Tribolium castaneum: one gene and its partner. The protein of the gene in region 1 interacts with the protein of each later gene in a biochemical or structural test. Links are inferred from orthologs where the notes say so. Each region holds a gene or a part of one and is shown on either strand. Other genes may lie near its edges.

Region 1 (4,187 bases):
GGGGCACCATGCGATGCATTGCCGGGCGTACGCCAAAGCCTTGCATTATAAGGAAGAGGAGTTTCAAAGGGGGGCGAGCAGCCAGGTTGTCGAAGCACTCATTTCGATCAATAATAAGTTGCAACAAAAGGAGGCGGCTGAAGGGTTGTTACAATACGTCATGCAGAGGGAAATGCAAGTGCAGGTCAGGTGGTACGAGAAGTTGCACAATTGGGAGAAGGCCCTGAGGTTGTATACTGAGAAACTGGAAGGGGACGAGGCGGACCAAGAGGCTTGTTTGGGCAAAATGAGGTTCGATTCAATTTTGTCTTTTCCCAAAAAAATCCTAGTTATGTTTTATAAACTTCTACATTGATTTTTCAGATGTCTCGAAGCGTTGGGCGAATGGGGCGAACTGCACCAAGTCGTCGAGAAAAGTTTCAGTTTACTAAATGACGACAGCAAACAAAAGGCGAGTCGGCTAGCGGCTGCGGCCTCCTTCGGTTTGCACGATTACAGGTCAATGGAAACTTACGTTAATGTAATTCCAAGGGATACGCAAGAGGGTGCGTTCTACCGTGCAATTTTGGCAATACATAAAGAGGATTACGAAGTGGTTTGTACCGTAAAAATCAGACAGATCGGTTTGGTTTATTAACCGGTTCCAGGCCCAAAGATTCATCGATTCAGCTCGCGATTTACTCGATAATGAATTAACTGCGATGGCTGGTGAGTCCTACCAAAGGGCCTACGGGGCCATGGTCATGGTACAAATGTTATCCGAGTTGGAAGAAGTAATGCAGTATCGGTTAGTGCCAGAACGGAGGCCCACTTTAAAAGCCATGTGGTGGCAAAGGCTCCAATCGGGCCAAAAACTAGTCGAAGATTGGCAAAGAATCATCCAAGTCCATTCCTTGGTCTTGACCCCACAAGAAGACAAACGAACGTGGGTGAAATACGCGTCATTGTGTCGCAAGAGCGGTTCATTAGTAAGTTCATACTCACACTTGATATTTTTTCTACAGTCGGTTTGATAGATGCTATCGCAAAAAACCCTAGTCATGTTACTCGGTTACGACCCAAGCGAACGTCCCGACGCCCCCTTGCCCAAAAACCAGCCTCACATCACACTAGCCTACGCCAAACATTTATGGGTGGCACAGGAAAAACAAAAAGCGTTCCAAAAACTATCACAATTCGTCGCTGACTATTCGCAAAACGAGCCAAACGACGACGTGACAGTTGAAGAGAAAAAAAGACTCCTGGCTAGGTGTTACCTCAAACTGGGGGCCTGGCATGAGGCACTTGAAGGCATCAACGAAACCTCCATACCTTTCATTTTGAAGTGTTACAAACAAGCGACTGAACACGACCCTCAATGGTACAAGGCATGGCACGCTTGGGCCTATATGAATTTCGAAACGGTCTTGTATTACACGAGACAGGAGGACAAGACGCACTATACAGTCTTAGCCGTTCAGGGATTTTTCAAGTGAGTCGGTTAAAACCGTTTTTTAACCCTAATTGTTCGTTTCAGATCGATTAATTTATCTAAAGGAAGTTCATTGCAAGACACTTTACGTTTATTAACACTGTGGTTCGATTACGGCGATTGGCCCGAAGTTTACGATGCCATAGTCGAAGGCATTCGTTTAGTCGAGAAAAACACGTGGCTTCAAGTAATTCCGCAATTAATCGCGCGAATTGACACAACGGCGTTAGTATCGAAATTAATCAATCATCTATTGGTTGATATTGGAAAAACGCATCCACAAGCCCTAGTCTATCCGTTAACCGTCGCAACAAAAAGTAATTCAATCAGACGTAGAAATGCAGCTAATAGTATTTTAAAATCGATGAGTGAACATTCCCCTACGTTGGTAAGTCAGGCCATGATGGCCTCAGAAGAATTGATCCGAGTGGCAATTTTGTGGCACGAAATCTGGCACGAGGGACTAGAAGAAGCCTCAAGATTGTATTTCGGCGAACGTAACGTTAAAGGAATGTTGCGAATTCTCGAACCGTTGCATGCGATGATGGAAAGGGGGCCCCAGACGTTGAAAGAGACGAGTTTTAATCAGACGTACGGCAGGGATCTGAACGAGGCGCAAGACTGGTGCCAAAGATACAAGGTTTGTATTTTCACCTAAATATTTGCTTTTTTTGTCTTTATAGTCTTTATCAATGAGGAAAAATTAATTAAGTTTTGCTAAAAAAACCTGTGGCCACTTCACCAAGAAAAATTTGTTATTTCAGCTTTCGAGCAACATTAGAGACCTGAACCAGGCGTGGGACCTCTACTACCACGTTTTCCGCCGCATTTCGCGTCAATTACCGCAACTCACCTCCCTCGAATTACAATACGTATCGCCAAATTTGCTAGTTTGTCAAGACTTAGAGTTGGCAGTGCCTGGTAGCTACTGTCCAGGACAGCCAATCGTACGCATTGCCAATTTTAACCGATCTCTCGAAGTAATTACCTCAAAACAGCGGCCCCGAAAACTAGTAATTCGTGGAAGCAACGGCAAAGACTACATGTTTTTACTTAAAGGTCACGAGGATCTGAGACAAGACGAGCGTGTTATGCAACTGTTCGGTTTAGTTAATACTTTACTAATGAAAGACCCGGATACGTTCAGGCGGAATTTGACGATACAGCGGTATGCGGTGATTCCCCTGAGTACGAATTCGGGTCTGATTGGGTGGTTACCGCACTGTGATACGCTGCACACTTTAATACGGGATTATAGAGACAAGAAGAAGATTTTGTTGAATATTGAGCATAGGATTATGTTACGGATGGCGCCGGATTATGATCATTTAACCGTGATGCAGAAAATGGAAGTTTTTGAGCACGCACTTGAGCACACACATGGTGACGATTTAGCGCGGTTGTTGTGGCTGAAAAGCCCCTCGTCTGAGGTTTGGTTTGACCGGAGAACGAACTACACGCGGTCTTTAGCTGTGATGTCAATGGTTGGGTATATTTTGGGGTTGGGGGATCGCCACCCCTCCAATTTAATGTTGGACAGACTGAGCGGCAAAATCCTGCATATAGATTTCGGCGATTGCTTCGAAGTGGCAATGACTAGGGAAAAATTCCCGGAAAAGATCCCCTTCCGTTTGACTAGGATGCTAATAAACGCCATGGAAGTGACAGGGATTGAAGGCACGTACAGACGGACTTGTGAGTCGGTCATGTCCATGTTACACCGAAATAAAGACAGTCTGATGGCGGTGCTTGAAGCCTTTGTTTATGACCCCCTGCTTAATTGGCGATTGATGGATATTGAGGTGCGGAACTTGCCGATGAACAGCGATTCAATGTCGACGAGTTGTTCCCAAAAACAGGGCTCATCCGAATCGCTCAATGTTCCGAAACGCGAGATGATAATGGAAGATAACGAACCGCAACACGAAGTTAATGCCAGGGCGGTTATTATCATCAATCGAGTTAGAGATAAACTGACCGGGAACGATTTCGCTACGGAGGAACCTTTGACTATTCCTAAGCAAGTCGATCTGTTAATACAACAAGCGACAAGTAACGAGAACTTGTCACAGTGTTACATAGGCTGGTGCCCCTTTTGGTAACTCGACTGCTGCATCTAATACCGTGATAGTTTTTTGTTGTGTATCTTATTATTTTTTATATAATCTAGTTGAAATAAAGTAATTATTACAAGTGTGTGTTTAGGAGCGCAATAAACAACTAAGATTAATACAAACTTACCAAACGTGCGATTTGAGCGACTTTTTATCACTTAAAATTTTATCAAACTTTTTCAAATGACATAATTGACAAACTGAATTGCCAACCTGGCAACAAAAATACGTTTTCCACAAATAATTCGAAAAAACACAATTTTACCGTAAATAAAATAATATTTCGTGACCACTGATCAATTTTCGCACAAACTATTTTATTATTACAGGTTTTAAGGAACATTTTAGCAAACTTCAAAAAACTGTAGTTTTGCAACAAAAGACGATCAAACACGAAAAAACAAAAAAATTAGCATTTTTAGCGTTAAAAACGTGCAATTGTAATAAAAGTATATTGCAAGCTTACCTCAAATGAGTCTGGCCGTTTTTTTATCAAACGTAATCACTTTTTGTGATTAACAATTTTTCAAAATAACGCAATTGTTAGTCACCTGTCAGCAAACAAATTTTTGACAGCCGACAAATTTAAAAAGATTTGGTAC
Region 2 (5,387 bases), on another chromosome or scaffold:
ATAAAGAGCTGATTAATCATTGCTTTATCTGATAAAAGACGGCCCCTGGCGAGTTGGATAAATAAATGTTTACTTGAATATGAACGATTAGCTCTCAAGTGGCCACGACACTCGTTTACCTGTCTCTATAAATTAAAAAGATTGCATGAGAGGTTGAGACAATTTCATTATGGCTCGTATCGAACACGCTAGACCCAAATTCAATTCTACGAGACTTTCAAGGGCACACCTGTCATTACTACAATGTTTCCCCGGTAGAGAACGCAATTAATCCAGTCGTTAACTCCATACCATATTACCAAAATTTTACGACTTTAGAAAATATGGCATTAAATTGGATTTAAGATTAAGGGATAATTGGGTAGATACCGGTCACAGTGCGTTAAGCACTTATTAATATTATGGAAATTAAATAACCATGTCATAAAATTGTCCTGATGTACGATTTTACAAGTTAATAAAAACAAACTTAAATTATTTAACGTCAGGTGTCAACGACATATACGGCATCTAATTAAAGATAAAAATTATTTTGCGTATCTCGACCAAAAAAACTTAATTTCCATGCAAATTGTGACCGGTCAGGAGCAAAATTTGTATGTGACTCGGGTAGGAAGTGAATTGAGAAACCACAGCTGACTAAATAACATGTTATAATATCAGATCTTACAGTAAATAACTCACTATAAGGATGGCACTTGGAACTGAACGTTGAACTCCAAGCAAATCGTGCCTTTGAAAATTAGATATACATTTAATAGATACATTTTAGTACTAAAATCGTGAAATCTTATATTTTGTACGATATTGCATTAGATAACTAGACGTGTCGTGAGATCGTAACCAGCAACCAGAGAAAAAGTCACTAAACTCCTAATTACTAAAGCCATGGGGTGATTACAGCATAAGTAAAAATTAATAATACCGCAACATTCCACTTAACCTATTGTTTCACACTAATAAAAAAATATTTTGTACTTTTGCTCTCACCAAAACTACAACTCAAATAGTACGATTTGACATCAAAATTAGTAACACGTTAAAAATATTCAGTAAGCGAGATCCACTTCGTCCATGATGAAATCAGTGGCGTAGCCGGAATCCATACTGAACGGACTGCAAACAGAACGAGTTAGCCGGGCGTCAAACCCGCTTACAGAAAACTCACTTTACGGCGCGACAAGTAAAGAAAACGATACGCTTTAGTCGCTTATTGTAGAAAAAATAATTAAAACTCCAGAGACAGCCGTCTTCCCCGAAAGGATCCGAGGCTAAATCGGGATTGTAAGAATAGATGTCGCAATCTTCGAGGGATATCTCGTCGTTGATTGCGGCCCACAGAGAGGCCCCCAGACCGCGGTACTGGTCTCCTGCAGTGGCGATCAAGTTCGAATCGATTGCGTTCTCGACCCACTGGCGCGAGGGCTCCTTGCTGAACTCGTGGCTCTGGAAACATGGCTCATTATCACTCCAATAGATAACGCCACCCGTAATTAATTCTCAGCGTTCAACTTTAAAGCATCCTTAACAAAATAACTCTAATAAGCTTTAGAATAAACTTAAGGCCTGTTGCAAGCAAAAATTACAGAGTTTCAAGCATAAAGTTTTAAGGTTTACAGAGCCGCTGAATTCACTGGAACAAAGCGCATTGCTCTACGACTTTTTGTTTTTGAGTTATGAATTTTTTTGTTGAATAAAATTTTCGACTATAGAAAATGCCTATCTTAATTTTTAACAAAAAATTTAAAAATGTTAGATCTCGTTAAAAGTTGGTGTAATACAGAAAATGAGCCGCTGAATTCAATGGAACAAACCGTATTGCTCTACGACTTTTTGTTTTTGAGTTATTAATTTTTAGCAAAAAATTTTAAAATGTTAGATCTCGTTAAAAGCTGGTATAACACAGAAAATGAGCCGCTGAATTCAACGGAACAAACCTGTAAACATGTAATTTTCTACCTTTTAATAAAATCTCTCAAAATCTGATCAAAGATTGTTTTTTTTTTCACATATCATCTTAGTAAAAAAATAGCTCAAATACTACTCAATGTTTTACATATTTCTACAAGGCCAGTAATAATAACAATACTTATTTCGATATGACCTTAATCTTAAATTTTGGAAAAATGAGCCTCTCAACATTTTTAATTAGTTAATGATTAAAGTATAAAGATTAAGGATTTTCAAAAATCAAATAGTTAAACTTGCTAAGGCTGGATTTTAGATAAACGCCCGATAAGTTATTTGCGTTTATTTGTTTCAAGAATGTATTTTTCGAAACTTATCCCCGAGATAAAGGTATCGGGCGATTATAAAAGCATCAAAGAATAGAAAAAATGGTGTTGACTGTTGGGTGGGGACTTGGCGGGCCTGAAATAGAGTGGGCCGACCTTCAGGTCGTACCTTGACGTCCATGAAGTCGTAGTCGGGGAAGGCCGAGTTGAGGGTTGCGATGAGGTAGAAGAGAGTCTTGCGACTGATTGTGTCGCAAAGCGGGCCCTCTTCGTCGCCTGAGACGCTACGGCTGTACTGCGAATGGCCGGGGGAGACGCCCTCGGGGGGCGACAGGGCTTGCAAGTCGTTGGGGTGCACCCCCTCGGGGTTGAACCGCTTGTAGAGGGCCTTGTCAGCCCCTGCCATCTTGCAGGAGTAGCTCTCGATGCGGCCGATGATTTGGCTGTCTCCGGTCTGGATCGACAGGAGGTTGTTGATGGCTTCAAATCTTGTACTCTCGAGCAGTTTCATTTTGTACTTTTTGGACTTGATATGTTTATTTGGGTAATAACGGACTTAAAGCACTGGCGGAAAAGTTTTTGAACATTGCGGTCGGGTGTATGAATATGCCTTTTCTCTTGGAGTGGCGGAGACACGACGGGACCAAAGTACGCTTCACCGACTTGCTCAACAGATAGTTTGGGCACATTACACTTATTAGAAATTAAAAAAGAAAAAGTGTTTTGGGGCAGAGTCAATTCGAATTGGAAAAAACTCAAATGTTTCACTGGGCGAGTCCACTTTGTTTGTTTATGACAGTCCGAGATTCTGGAAATTTCGCCTTTGCTAGAGTTCGGAATACGAAGAGTGGTACATTTTACGAACGAGCACAACTAACGCAACACCCGAATCAAACTTTTTACAAAATTTACTACAGTTTTTCACGAAAAAACACTGTTTTTCACTCTGACATAAATCGAGCTTGTACACAAATGAATGTCAAGCGGACGATGCCAACCTAACGGACGCAAAATTAGAAACTGGCAAGCGGACGCACACAATTAGAATTACAAAACGACTTTCGTCGACGATTGTTCTTGTTTTTACACCAAAAGAACACGAAAGTGCACACAACTGTGCCAAAAACTTAACCGGCAGATGATTTTTTATGCACCCAAGGAAAATCGGCGAGTTGGCGACCCTGGCCCATCGCTTGCCTTTGTGAGCTCTTATTTACACCAACATGACCCCTAAGGTCACACAGAGGCGTAACAAAATCGAAAATTGCAAAATTGTAAACTCTGACTCCTATTATTGCAACATTATAGGAAAATATCACGCGAATTACTTGTTTTTCATCAGTAGTAGGGGTTGTTATGATAGATACGTGTTTAGTCTGCGGTTTGCCCGCAAATTTATTTATTTATTTATTTATTTTCAAAAAAAAAACTCAATTTTGGATTTATTGAATTTTTTTTTAGAAGTATGAATTATAATTTTTAATTTTTTGTTAAAGTGGGACGCCGCTGGCAATTGAACAATCCACCTTGATTAATTAGGGCAAGAGCATCGAAAATAACTGTTATTTGAGTATGCTTAATTAAGATAATTAATTCGCTCAACAGTTAATATACTTTTTTTATTTAAATTCACACGAATTTCCAGGTGCACTATAATGAATTGCATAATAAAAATAGATACAGAAATTGTTATCGCTTGGAAGCTGGATTCCTTTCATAATAAATATTTATAATCAGTTATGTAATGAAATGAAAACAAAAATATGTACAAAGTGATTACAAAATTATTATGTAAAACATTAAATTTTTTTCTATGATATGACTGTTTGCATTTTAGAAAAATGGTATGTACAAAAAAAATCATTCTGTAAAAACAATGCATTGCATATTTGTAGACCATGCACATCGATAATTATTCAATAATAAAGGTTGTTATCATTAAATGTGTTTTATTTATTTTTAGAACAATCAACATTGAATTCCTCAGACTGAAGAAATTAATATCGTGGTTTTGACCTTTGATTAATGATAATACCTATCAGGTACTACCTTAGGTATATGCAGAAAATTCGACTTATTTATTAAAGATGAAAAATTTCAAAAAATATAAGATTTTAAGAAATGATACTATAAGTATCTAAATACAAAATAAAATAAAATTTAAATTTAAAAATAGGATTGATTTTTTTAAACTCTTAAATAAATCATCCAAAAATATTACAAAATCCTGTAGCTATCCAATAGATCCTCTATAGTCTTACACTCTTACATAAAACCGAACTATTTTTACTGCTGCGATGCATCTGAAGCCGAAAAGCTGAAAGCTACGATGAAAAAAGTCCATCTCCATCGCTCCTCAGTTTATCATAGGCCGTGTTTATTTTTAATGTTATTTAGTAAACAGAAAATTGAGAAACAATTTGACAACCGGACGTAGCCGAACTATCCATTTACTAAATTTAACCCAAGCATCGGGACGTCGAGCGTCGTTTCTCTCCGTTCCCAACGTCACGAACGTAAACTCTCAAAATACACTCGAAAACTCGGCGATCAAGAAACTCAATTAAAGAAACTTTTCCGCAATTTAAGACAACGCGATCGGTAAGTCGGGTGTGCCATTCTAACACCAGTCCAAATTTGATATAATTACTTTCGATCCGAATAAAACGCTTTGCCTCGATTGATGACTAACACGTGGCTTTCGTAATGTGATATTTCCTCATTTGTTGTGGTAGCGAGAAGAATTGCCACCAAACATGTGATTATAACAATACTATGAGCCTCAATCACCAAGATTCAGAGATCGGACAAAGTCCTGGCTGTGATCCAAAAACTAGCAAAAGAAACAGCGGTTTATTTGCTTTCTTGAAATGGTTTAAACCCTCGACTTCTCGCGAATCCATAGACACTCAAAATTCCAGCAGTTGTGAGAGCTTGAATTCGATACAAAGCAGCGGAACAGTCGCCTCCTTTTCCTACGTCCCTCCGAATGACTACACGAATAAAGTGAGCGAAAAGTGCATCGTCCCAGGGCCTGAGACGGACACCTACAGAGCAAGACTCAAACAAAGGGACAAGAGGCGCGAAAACGACAAAAACACCACTTTGCGCAAAAAATACAACTTATTTTTCAACCGCGAGACGCTACTCAAG

What was found. The genes of interacting proteins can lie anywhere in the genome.
Region 2: of the proteins of mTor (region 1) and Maf1, one has a biochemical effect on the other in vitro, tested with the Homo sapiens proteins (2 studies listed by BioGRID and IntAct). The link is inferred for Tribolium castaneum from reciprocal best matches to the Homo sapiens genes MTOR and MAF1.

Annotation. Positions count from the first base shown.
Region 1 is NC_087399.1:3,309,753-3,313,939, forward strand, and holds the end of mTor (serine/threonine-protein kinase mTOR), read left to right. Parts: coding exon 1-291; intron 292-363; coding exon 364-595; intron 596-647; coding exon 648-968; intron 969-1,016; coding exon 1,017-1,471; intron 1,472-1,516; coding exon 1,517-2,111; intron 2,112-2,235; coding exon 2,236-3,573; 3' UTR 3,574-3,664; downstream 3,665-4,187. UniProt on the Homo sapiens protein: Serine/threonine protein kinase which is a central regulator of cellular metabolism, growth and survival in response to hormones, growth factors, nutrients, energy and stress signals.
Region 2 is NC_087398.1:6,530,581-6,535,967, forward strand, and holds Maf1 (repressor of RNA polymerase III transcription MAF1 homolog), read right to left. Parts: upstream 3,401-5,387; 5' UTR 2,746-3,400; coding exon 2,404-2,745; intron 1,447-2,403; coding exon 1,169-1,446; intron 1,117-1,168; coding exon 1,050-1,116; 3' UTR 637-1,049; downstream 1-636. Other genes in the region: uncharacterized protein LOC663202, read left to right, coding at 5,010-5,387. UniProt on the Homo sapiens protein: Plays a role in the repression of RNA polymerase III-mediated transcription in response to changing nutritional, environmental and cellular stress conditions to balance the production of highly abundant tRNAs, 5S rRNA, and other small non-coding RNAs with cell growth and maintenance.